Macaca fascicularis: one gene and its partners. The protein of the gene in region 1 interacts with the protein of each later gene in a biochemical or structural test. Links are inferred from orthologs where the notes say so. Each region holds a gene or a part of one and is shown on either strand. Other genes may lie near its edges. The genes, in order: BIRC2, CASP7 and CASP3.

What was found.
Region 2: the proteins of BIRC2 (region 1) and CASP7 form a complex in vitro, tested with the Homo sapiens proteins (2 studies listed by BioGRID, with this or other methods). The link is inferred for Macaca fascicularis from reciprocal best matches to the Homo sapiens genes BIRC2 and CASP7.
Region 3: the proteins of BIRC2 (region 1) and CASP3 form a complex in vitro, tested with the Homo sapiens proteins (3 studies listed by BioGRID, with this or other methods). The link is inferred for Macaca fascicularis from reciprocal best matches to the Homo sapiens genes BIRC2 and CASP3.

The regions. Positions count from the first base shown.
Region 1 is NC_088388.1:101,357,517-101,361,868, reverse strand, and holds the start of BIRC2 (baculoviral IAP repeat-containing protein 2), read right to left. Parts: upstream 2,941-4,352; 5' UTR 1,913-2,940; coding exon 1,018-1,912; intron 922-1,017; coding exon 822-921; intron 1-821. UniProt on the Homo sapiens protein: Multi-functional protein which regulates not only caspases and apoptosis, but also modulates inflammatory signaling and immunity, mitogenic kinase signaling, and cell proliferation, as well as cell invasion and metastasis.
Region 2 is NC_088383.1:122,773,717-122,777,361, forward strand, and holds the end of CASP7 (caspase-7), read left to right. Parts: intron 1-1,576; coding exon 1,577-1,806; 3' UTR 1,807-3,181; downstream 3,182-3,645. UniProt on the Homo sapiens protein: Thiol protease involved in different programmed cell death processes, such as apoptosis, pyroptosis or granzyme-mediated programmed cell death, by proteolytically cleaving target proteins.
Region 3 is NC_088379.1:189,420,340-189,424,511, forward strand, and holds the start of CASP3 (caspase-3), read right to left. Parts: upstream 2,905-4,172; 5' UTR 2,837-2,904; intron 2,162-2,836; 5' UTR 1,994-2,161; intron 1-1,993. UniProt on the Homo sapiens protein: Thiol protease that acts as a major effector caspase involved in the execution phase of apoptosis. Following cleavage and activation by initiator caspases (CASP8, CASP9 and/or CASP10), mediates execution of apoptosis by catalyzing cleavage of many proteins.

The DNA of each region.
Region 1 (4,352 bases):
CTACTAATAACACTGCCCCTAAATTCTTTCTAGGCTACAATAAAAAGACACTGCTAGAGATAAAGTGGCTAAAAAGAGGTAAATGACAGATTATAAAAAAAGAAAATTGTACAGAAAAAAAAACTTACAATTACAATTAAAATGGGCAGTCAGATGATGGAGTCTCGCTGTTACCCAGGCTGGAGTGCAGTGGCATGATCCTGGCTCACTGCAGCCTCCACCTCCTGGGCTCAACCGATTCTCCTGCCTCAGCCTCCCGAGAAGCTGGGACTACAGCCGTGTGCCACCATGCCCAGTCAGTTTTTGTATTTTTAGTAGATACAGGGTTTCACCATGTTGGTCAGGCTGGTCTTGAACTCCTGACCTCAGGTGGTCCACCTGTCTTGGCCTCCCAAAGTGCTGGGATTACAGGTGTGAGCCACTGCACCCAGCCAAGATATGCTCTTAATATATGCATTTTTACATTTGCCTTATTCCTGCATCCATTCTATGTCCCTTCTTGTTTTCCTGTTCTTACCTTTTTCTAACTTCTTTTTAATCTATTTTATATGTCTTTGTAATCCTTAAGTACTGTTTAAAAGAAGACGGGCAATAAATAAAATGTATGGCTATACTTGTAACTGACTTACAAAAGTACACAGAAGACTGCATAATATTTTTCAACAAAACAATTAAAGTTAAAATGTGATCTTTTAGAAGGATAATTCCCCAGCGGCACAAAAGAGGCTTTGTTATAATTTAACGGTAAACTAAATCATGTAAGCATGCCTACTTCTTTTAAGCAGAGTTTTTTGTACAAATACCTTTTTCAAAACAATTACCTTGGAAACCACTTGGCATGTTCTACCCATGGATCATCTCCAGATTCCCAACACCTCAAGCCGCCATCACAACAAAAGCATTTGACATCATCATTGCGACCTTCAAGAAAAAAAAAAAGACTAAATATTGAAAACACATTATGTTCTAATATGTAAATCAAAATAAAATGATAAAATGTAGTTATTTGCTTCTTACCCACATAATAAAAACCAGCACTTGCAAGCTGCTCAGGCTGAACTGGAACACTGGATGGCCAGTACATAAACGTTCTCATTCGAGCTGCATGTGTCTGCATGCTCAGATTTGAAATGCTAAACCTCAGCGTTTCTAGAGAATTTTCCAAAAATGGACAGTTGGGAAAATGCCTCCGGTGTTCTGACATAGCATCATCCTTTGGTTCCCAGTTACTGAGCTTCCCACCACAGGCAAAGCAGGCTACCCTATCTCCAGGTCCTATATAATAAAAACCAGCTCTTGCCAATTCTGATGGTGACAAAAAAGTTAATGGCCACATATGGTAGGTAAGAAATCGGGCTTCTTCAGTACTCATTGCATAACTGTAGGGGTTAGTCCTCGATGGAGACAAGTCTTCAACTGCTCTAGAATTAAGAGGGTTTGGTGAAAGGCTAGAGTAAGAACCACTGAACAAGCTACTATGTTCCAAGGTGGGAGATAATGAATGTGCAAAACTGTTTCTCATTGGAGAAGTATTCTTAGAGGTGGATCCCAGAGTAGCTGAAACCAGATTCTGAATAAAGCTACAGCTAGGATATAGTTGTTTATGCTTTTCAATAGGACTGTCTCCTAGTTTCCAGTTATCCAGCATCAGGCCACAACAGAAGCATTTGACCTTGTCATTCACACCAGTATAATAAAAACCAGCACGAGCAAGACTCCTTTCTGAGACAGGAACGCCGGTGGGGAAAGTTGAATATGTAGACATTCTGTAGAGTTCACAGGAAAAGTCATACTTCATTTTTTGTTTGTTGCTGTTTGTCCAATCTGACAAGATCGTGCTATCTTCCATTATACTCTTAATGTTTTGATACGAGGGACCTGGGAAAAGTCTTTGGGAGGCAGTTTTGTGCATGAGTAGGTGACAGTACTGTTTGATAGCTAAAACAGTCACATGAAATTTCTTCACACAAAATAAGATTTTTACCACAAAAAGAAATCAATGATAGACTCTTACGTAGAATTCACTACACTTTCTTTACTGGATTTATCTCAGTTTATATTCAGGTAGGATGAGTCTCTCTCTGAATTACCAAGATACTACTTGGAACACAAGTCTTTGGGGTTGTAGTAACTCTTTTAAGTAATCTAAGTGCTATTTGTTCATAATCTTGAGTAATACTAACCTAAAGCCCTGAGAGGTGGATGCCCTTTTGAAAATGTTGAAACTCCTTGATTTTTCACAGAGATTTATATTCTCAAAATTCTAAGCAACTACAGAATACCTAAATTACTCCTTTTATTTATATTTGGTTACAAGCTATGAAGCCTGGGTAACAGATCAATTACTGATTATGCCACAAGGTAAAAAATTACATGCAGGCTTCTTTCCCTATAAGCACTTTAATATAATGTCCCCAAAAAATCTCATTTTATTCCAATAAACAAAAGTAATTAAAATCTTCATATGGTCACACTATTTAAAGGCTAAGTTCACACAGCTTATCACCATAGTATTTACATAAGCGGGCTATATTACTTCAGCTGACAACTTTTGGGGAAGTCAACACCCACAAGCTTTGTTGAACCTGTGCCTGTTATAGTGTTTGATGTCAAATGAATTTGGCTTAAAGTTCACAAACTATAAACTCTTCTATCTTTGTTAAATATCATTTGTATTTGTTTCTATTTCCTGCAGCATGTTGACTTTCTTCCTAACTTTGTATACCACTTTATTATTCTTGATCAACTGAAGGTATTTTCTCCATAAACTTAATTAGTTAGCCATAAAATTTCCACAGCACACTTTTCACACTGCATTTAAAAACTAAATAACCTGTTCATCATTTAAGGACTATTCAGCTATAATTATCAGTCATGCTGTAAACATTAATCAATTTGTCACAAGACACAACTTGTCCTTTCTAGTGTTATCAGAAACGCCTAACAAAATACTGTATTACCAAAAAAGTACTGCTTAGCATAACGTATCAGTAATCAACTCTACTAGCCTTCTTTCTGAAAACTCTTCAATGTTTTAAAAATATAATTCATACACAAAATTACACTCCATAGAATTCAAACTATATCCCTTTATAAAGCTTCGAGATCTCCAAAATGGGATTTATTACTGCAAGGGGAAAGGGAGAGGAGGATTCTTCAGGGCTGTAAATCTGAAAAGAAAAAACAAAAGGTATTTTAGAAAACCGTATTTGCATGCCAAATAGAACTTACATACTCTTCAATTTATTCACTAAAGTCTAAGAATAATTTACATTTTAGATAACACATCTTAATTTCCAGCAATTTGTCACAACTTTCTAACTGAAAAAGCTCTTAATTAAAATAAATAAATGCAACATACTCCCATAGCACTAACTATACGTGTCTTTAAAAAGCACAACTTTAGAGACAGATGGAAATTTTCACACAGGAAAACATTTTGTCCTTGCTCTCCTCCCCTTTTCTGACCTAAAGGTATCTTTGGCACTCTGCTGGAGGCAAAGGAACATTGGTGAAAAAGGCAGAGAGAGCGACAAGGTACTCCACTAAACCCTGTCAACAGCAGTACAGCAGTAATCAGACAGCAACGTTAGTTTGTAATATCAAGTCTCTCCGCGACTAGGAAAACTGCAGTAAAATGTACCACGAGTTCATTAATATAAACCCTTAAACTCTGCCAATCCCTTACAATTTCAAAGCAACGACGGTAGAAAACAACCGAAAACAAAACCTAACACAGCGGCCTGTGAAACAGTGGCCTGACGCCCACTGGCATGATTGCTTTAATTACACGCGATTTTTTATATACTATCTTTAAACGAAAGACTTTTATCTGCGAGCACCGTACTGCAGCATTCTCTTTATGCAAACTGCAGCTGGACAGGGGATAGGATGGAAGAGAAAAGAATAGAAACTATGGGATTTACCCAATAATTACCCAGAGTTGTTTCTCACAATACACAACAGACTACTGGAATGACAGAGCGCAGTGGCAACTATGAAATATGAAATATCACCGCCACCGAAATATCTTCGTTTCAATGTATTACATTAAAAGAACGCCGAGGGCTGTTTAAAACCTTGCAAAAACTGCGAGAAAACATCTTGGTCAAAGTCCAAGGGCCAGAAGAGTGGGCGGCGGCCAGAGGAGGTTTGAAAACAAGTCATATTTTAAAAACGGCTTTGACTGCAAGTCTTGAAGTTTGGGCTTCCGAATCCAATAAAACCTTGGCGAGAGTAGAAAGCAGAGAGCCCCCGGCGACCCTCGACCCTTGGCCGAAGGGCCTCTGGCCCCTTCCTTCCTCGCCCGGCCGCCACATCAGGGAAGTGGGCCCCCGCGGGCCCGCGCGTCC
Region 2 (3,645 bases), on another chromosome or scaffold:
CCTGTAATCCCAGCACTTTGGGAAGCCGAGGCAGGTGGATCACAAGGTCAGGAGATTGAGACCATCCTGGCTAACATGATGAAACCCCATCTCTACTAAAAATACAAAAAAAAAAAAAGAAAATAGTGGGGCATGGTGGCGGGCACCTGTAATCCCAGCTACCCGGGAGGCTGAGGTAGGAGAATGGCGTGAACCCGGGAGGTGGAGCTTGCAGTGAGCCGAGATCGTGCCACTGCACTCCAGCCTGGGCGACAGAGTGAGACTCTGTCTCAATAAAAAAAGAAGCTGCTGTAACTGAGCCTAAAATTCCAAACGACATGGGTAAGAGAAGGGCTTGTCGACGGAGTACTGAGGGGCCGGATAGCCCAGTGCATTTGGTAAAACTCGGGGCTGGATCGCAGCGTATATCAGTCTTCTTGGGCTGCTATAGCAAAATACCTTAGACAAGGTGGCTTAAACAACAGACATTTATTTCTCTTAAGTTAGGGAGGCTGGGAAGTCCTACATCAAGGTGTCGGCTAAGTCACTTTCTGGTGAGGGCTCCCTTTCTAGCTCATAAATGGTCACCTTCTTGCTATAGCCTCATATGGCAGAGATTGAGAGCAAGAATGAGTGAGGTCTCTCGTGTCTCTTCTTATAAGGACACCAATCCCCTTGGATCAGAGCCCTACCCTAGTGACCTCATCGGACTTTAATTACCTCCATAAAGACCCTGCCTCTAAACACAGTCACATTATGGAGTGCAGCTTCGATAAATGAATTTTGGGAAGACATAGTTCAGTCCATAGCATTGGATGTGACAGGGCATGGCCAGGATCAAACCAGGACAGGTAGGCAAGTGGCCCTGTCATGGCGGGCCCTGTGTGCTGTGTCAAGCAGCCTGAACTTGACCCAGATAAAGTGGTGCAAGCAAACTGTTTTAGGTTAGGGAGTTATAGGATGAGATTTGTCCTCCCAGGGCATCAGGCTCTCCTGGCCCTGCCCCTCAGACAGTTGGGCATTCAGCTTCCTCGTGCCTCTGGATTTCTTCAGCAAGGTCCAACTCTACTCCCATGTACCCCAGCAGCAGGAACACATCTCAGAAATCTTCAAGGTTCCCTGCAAATTCCTTCTCTAGTAGATTTGGATTCGAAAGTAGCACTGACCCCCAAAGGGTAGTGAGGAGTTCCAGAGTTATGGAATAGACCTCCAGCATTTCCTTTGGAAGTCTGCATGTGCAGATCTGTTTCACACTCATGTATCTGATATATATCAGGTGGGTACCTCCATCAGGCTAACACAGGAGAGTACCCTGGCACCATCCACCAAGGCTGGCCCTTAGTGATGTTGTCTGTCATAGGATTTCCGTAGTGAAGTACCCAAAGCATTTTCTAGCATCTTCATGCCAACCCTCTAAATCTCAGATGTTTGCTCTCTGAGCACACCAGCATAATTCTCATTAATGACTTGTGTGCAGAGTAGAGTGAAATCATTTCTGAAAAGCAGGTGTAAAAGCCCCATAGAGTCAGTCTCATTGGTGAGTGGAGCAGCTGTCAGAATTAGCTGATTTGATTATCTCCTTTCTTTCCTGTTGAAGGCTATTACTCGTGGAGGAGCCCAGGAAGAGGCTCCTGGTTTGTGCAAGCCCTCTGCTCCATCCTGGAGGAGCACGGGAAAGACCTGGAGATCATGCAGATCCTCACCAGGGTGAATGACAGAGTCGCCAGGCACTTTGAGTCTCAGTGTGATGACCCACGCTTCCATGAGAAGAAGCAGATCCCCTGTGTGGTCTCTATGCTCACCAAGGAACTCTACTTCAGTCATTAGCCATATCAGGGGTGCATTCTAGCTGAGAAGCAATGGATCAATCACTAATGAATCAGATTTTTTTTTTTTTTTTTTTGATGCTCTTGAAGTATTCAGAAATTCTCCAGAATTTTCATTTCGGGAAAATGTATTGATTCAACAGGGAAGAAACTTTCTGGTGCTGTCTTTTGTTCTCTGAATTTTCAGAGACTTTTTAAATAATGTTATTCATTTGGTAACTGTGTAACTTTCTCTTAAGATTAATTTTCTCTTTGTATGTCTTTTACCTATTAGACTTAATACATGCAACAAAAGTGACCTCTGGAGAAAGCTTGTGGCTGTGTCCTCTGTAATTGGTGGTAACAGTGGTAGGCAGAGTCATGTTTGCACTTGGCAAAGAGAATCCCAGTATTTGACAAAACACAGCCAAGGGGATATTTACTGACCTTTATTGCAGAATGTGGGTATTGAGTGTGATTTGAATGATTTTTCACTGGCTTAGGGCAGATTTTCATGCAAAAATTTCCAGATAAGAGGAGAAAAAGCTAAATGATTCTGATATGTATCCATCAGGATCCCGTCTGGAAAACAGAAACCATTCTAGGTGTTTCAACAGAGGGAATTTAATACAGGAAATTGACTTACATAGATGATAAAAGAGAAGCCAAATAGCAAGAAGCTGTTAACACACCCAGGGCTGTGACGATAATGGGAAGAGGTTTGGTTTCCTGAGTCTAGTAGTAGGATCATCCAGAGGAGCTGGAACCATGGTGGGGGCTGCCTAGTGGGAGGTAGGACCACTAATGGATTGTGGGAAGTGGAGCCATGACAAGGACAAAGCCACTGCCTGAGATGGATTGAACTGAGTCAGATACAGAGAATACCTTGGTCTCACCTCTCCTGCCCTCACATCTTCCACCAGCACCTTACCGCCCAGGCCTACCTGGAAGCCACCTTACCAAGGGCCTTGGAAGAGCAAGGGACAGTGAGGCAGGAGAAGAACAAGAAATGGATGTAAGCCTGGCCCATAATGTGAACATAAGTAATCACTAATGCTCAACAATTCATCCATTCAATCATTTATTCATTGGGTTGTCAGATAGTCTATGTATGTGTAAAACAATCTGTCTTGGCTTTATGTGCAAAATCTGTTAAATCTTTAAAATATATCTGGAACTTTTTAGATAATTCCAAGCCTTATTTTGAGTAAATATTTGTTAATTTTAGTTCTATAAGTGAGGAAGAATTTATGGCAAAGATTTTTGGCACTTTATTTTCAAGGTGGTGTTATCTTTTGAAATCTTGATAAATGACTGTTTTTTTCTGCCTAATAGTAACTGGTTAACAAACAAATGTTCATATGTATTGATTAAAAATGTGGTTGCTTAATTCCTAACCTGTCCGGTTTGCTTTCCTTTTGAAGTCATTTATGACAATGGAGAAATGAGAAAACAGGGTAAGAATTGACCCTATTGGCTGGACGCAGTGGCTTACGCCTGTAATCCCAGCACTTTAGGAGGCCGAGGTGGGTGGATCATTTGAGGTCAGGAGTTCGAGACCAGCCTGGCCCACATGATGAAACCCCACTTCTACTAAAAATACAAAAAAATTAGCTGGGAATGGTGGTGGGCACCTGTATGTAGTCCCAGCTACTCAGGAGGCTGAGGCAGGATAATCGCTTGAACCCAGGAAATGGAGGTTGCAGTGAGCCAAGGTCGAGCCACTGCACTCCAGCCTAGGCGACAGAGTGAGACTCTGTCTCAAAAAAAAAAAAAAAAAAAAAAAAAAAAAAAAAGATGAAGAAGAATTGACCCTATTGACTTGACCTCAATATATAATATAATGTTTTTGAAGTTAGTA
Region 3 (4,172 bases), on another chromosome or scaffold:
CTATTCAAAGTCTCCGAGTTTACGACACAAGTCAGAAAGAATGGCACTTACCATGTGCAAAAGCTCTGTCCTCCCTGTGCCAAGTGAAGTCCTAGGATAGTGTTTTTGGAGGGACAAAAGGAGAAAACGGGAAAGCCTTCACAGATCTAAATGATTTATATAAGTGTAAAATGGAGGATCTTGAATGCTTTTTTATAAAAATTACAGATAACATTAAAGGCTCACCACTCCCACCAAGAATGACTACTTTGCAGAATCAGATTCAGGTTTAAAACCGCTTGAAGAAACCCTACTGTCTGGAAGACTGAAACTGCCAAAAGTCAGATTCAGTAGCATCTATTCATTTGATATTTGCACCATAACAATTTACTGAACACCAACTGTGTGCAGAGTACTATACTAGACCCTGAGTGTATCAAGCAGTGGACGAGACAAACCCTATCTCTATGCAGGGCTTATACCGATGCTCACTGGCATTCAAAAGTGGCTCAACAAAGCAGATGCCAGACGGTGTCCAATACATATCAGGTAACTTGATTGCATTATTGTAATGCAAAGAAGCCCTACAGGCAACATGTGACGGTAAGAACAAAACATGCAGAGAAAGAACATTATATAAATCTAAGAATTCTCACATCTTTTTTTAGGCCCAAATACCAGTGCTTCCTATCTTTGGGGCAGAGCTTAAACATCTAATAGTAGGCACCAGAAGCAATGTAATATATCATTCATGAAAATAAAGACTGCTTTGTAGGGGGATGAAGCAGTAGGAGATTGTGTTAAATGAGGTCTGAAAGCAAAACAGTGAAGAAGCATTATAACTGCCTATATCAGATGCCAGTCTCTTCAAAAGGCAAGAGTCAAGGCCTTTATTCAGGATAGCAAAAGCAAACCTGATTTAACTAGGTACAATGTCTAATGTCTCTTACTCTGAACAGGTTTTATTGCCATACTCCAATAAACTGTTCGTGCATTCACTAAAATATATTTTCACTTTCAAAAACCTTCTTTTACAAAAAGGCAAAGCAAAACCAAAGCCCAAGCATCGGGCTGTGATAGAGATGATTTAAGCTTTACATTTCACTTTTAGAGATGATGTAACCACAGCACGCACACTCACAGTGGCTGAGCCCATTTTGATACAGTCTAGTCTAACCACCTTTCCTGGCCCTCTTTCTGCTATCTTGCAGGTTTACATGGTTTCAGTGACTCCATGTCACCTCTACCATTTCTTTTCTAACTATTATTTGCTAAATAATCCTAAACCAGGTCTACTTTTTCTAGATAGGGCATAAAAGTAAAAACACAACGGATGGGCATTCACTGCGTTGTGCCAGGGCCCGCATTTGGTGAAAGACTCTAAGGACACCAAGATAAACCAAGTCCATCCCTCCTGGAGTTTGCTTGCAAATCTAGCAGGGAAGACAGTAAACAAGCAACTGCAGAGGATATGACACATCTCTCTTAGGGAACGCTGGCTGCAGAAAGAACACAGTAGAGGAAGATTGAACCTTGAACTGTTTTAATGAAAACAGAAGTTTAAGTAGCAGCTCTTACTTCTAATCAAATGTGATGGCGGGAGAAGGGGAATGCAGAGGTGTGGCAGACACTAGCTATGAAGGTCAGCATTGCTGTGCAGAAAGTGAATCGGTGCTAAAGATAGGGAGGGGTGGGGGCACTCAGGACCCAACACGTACTGGGGTTTGTCAGCCGTATTAAGTGCTGGGTTTAACCTAAGGGCAAAGGACGCGCTTTCTAGACTTTCATTTCATAAAGATCCCTCTGTGCTGTGAAAAGTGGACTACAAAGGAGCAGGCGGGTCTGGAGGTGGAGAGACCAGGGAAGAGGCTGCTGTGGAGATGGAGAGACGTGGACAGACCTGGCAGACGTTTACAAGGTCGACAAGGCTTGGTGACTAAGCGGGAAAAGAAGTAGGTGGGCGAGAGGGGGGCGAGAAGGATGTTTTCCGGTTTCCTGCTTGGGTGCCACTTACTGAGAATGGGGGAAAGACGCAGGTGCAGAGCACACCCACTGAAAACAACAGCGCCGAGCGCGAGCAGGGCTCGCTCACTCCTCACGGCCTGGGATTTCAAGGCGACGCCAATCAGCTGTGGCCACGGAGACACAGCCACAGGGATGAGCTGTGAGCACTCACGAAACTCTGCAGGGCCGAAAAGGAATTGGATTTTAAACCCTGCAACTAGCTCTCTGGAAGAGCTAAACCACACAGTCAACCCGGGATAGTCCAGGCCCCAGGCATGGAAGGCAGCAGAGACGGAAGCCTCGCCCAAAATTGGAAGGATCAGCCCCGAGGGCGAGTCCCTCACAGTCAGCACCCGGCCGCCCCAGCCCTCGCCGCACCGCTTCCCGGGGCCACTCCTCCGCCGGCGGTAGCACCGTCTGCTTTCCAGCTTGCCGCTGCCTCCCGCTGCCTGGCCCGGCCTCCTGGCCCCAGGCCCGGCCGCCAGGTCTCTGGCCCTCGGAGTTCGGTGCCCCGTGCCCGACCTCCCGGCCCCGGCCTCGGTTCCCCCGGGCCGGCCTCCCGCTGCCTGGCCTCCCCGGCCCCAGGCAAGCCTCCCGCCCCCGGGTCAGGTCTCCCTTCCGATGACCTGAGGCCTTTCCTTAGGTTACTCCCAGGTCCCTCTCCCTAAATCAAAAGCCTTAACCCGCTGCCTGGCTGCCCCGGCCCCGGCCCCGGGCTTCACTGCTCGCTGCCGCCCCGGGTGAGGTGGCAAAACAAAGGCTCCGCCGCCCAGGTCCCCGGGCGGGCGCTGGGCCTGGGAGGACGCAGGGAGCGGGGACAGGGCTGACCGCCCGGAGCGAGCGCGGCACTCACCGCACAGCCTTCTCACACCTTCCACAACCGCCTCACAGCAGCAGCCACCCGTTACGATCCGCGTCTGCACCGCTTCAGCAGCCCGCCGCCTGGGGACGTGCTCCAGCGCTAGCCCCGCCCCCGGCCCGCCCCTGTCGGCCCCGCGCGCCCCCTCCCTGGGGCCCGTCCCCCAGCTCCCGCCCGCCCGAGAACCCAGGGCCGGGCTGGGCCCCAGGAGCCGCCAGCCCGCTGCAGCCCGCGCCCGCGCCCGCGCCCGCGCCCGCGCCCGCGCCCGCGCCCGCGCCCGCGCCCGCGCCCGCGCCCGCGCCCGCGCCCGCGCCCGCGCCCGCGCCCGCGCCCGCGCCCGGGTCCCCGCCCCCCGAGGCCCCGCCCCCGAGGCCCGCCCCCGAGGCCCGCCCCCGAGGCCCGCCCCCGAGGCCCGGCCCCGCTCCCCCGCCCCGGATTTGAAAGCTGGGTCTTCCTGAGAGTCCGCGGGCTTCCGCTCCCAGCGCGGGATTCTGGAGGTAATTTGAGGAAGAGTTGGAAACCGCGCCAGGCCCAACGGGGACCTAGAAGGGAGACAAGGCCAGGCCTGCTGCCCAGTGTGAGCTCTGAGAAGAAGAGGAGCGGGCCGGGACGCCCTCCGGTAATTTCCGTCCCCCCTCCGGTGACCTGAGGCCTTTCTTGGGGTTACCCCCAGGTCCCTCTCCCTAAATCAAAAGCCTTAGCCTCCTGTCGCCAGGGTGCCGGGCTAGTAATAAGCAGGTCCACGCATGCTGGACACACGGGCTCAAGCCACTCCGCGCATCAGTCAGTACTACAAACCGTACGCAGTAGTGTACTTAATCCATATATAAACGTTACATGTTAAGCATCCCACAGCAAACAAAGTAGCATTTAACATCCCGAGGAAAAAAAGAGAGAGGACAAAGAGATGAACAACCAATCCAGAGGAAGTGAAGAAGAGAAGAAGAAGCCTGGTTTGGGCCCGAGAGGTCCTTCTGCAGAGACAGCGTCAATTAAGACTGTTTGGAGCTGCCGAAGGCAGAGTCCGGGTGAGAACTGACAGTGGAAGAGGGCGCTTGTTTGTGTCCTTACCTGAGTGGATGCGGACTAGTTTTTTACTTGTTTATTAAAGTATAGTATCCTTGTTGGCAAATGCCCTATGAAATATAAAATGGGGTCTTTTCCTAAGATGGAGTTATTAATAGTTACGTGAAGGGTGTGCTATACACTGCCGTACTGATCCCCTTCCTATTTTGGGTCATGAACTCATTTTAGACCCTGAAGCAAACTGTGAATCGTTTTCGCAGAAGAATTCTCCAACACGTGAGCACGACATTCTGCATCAGATTTC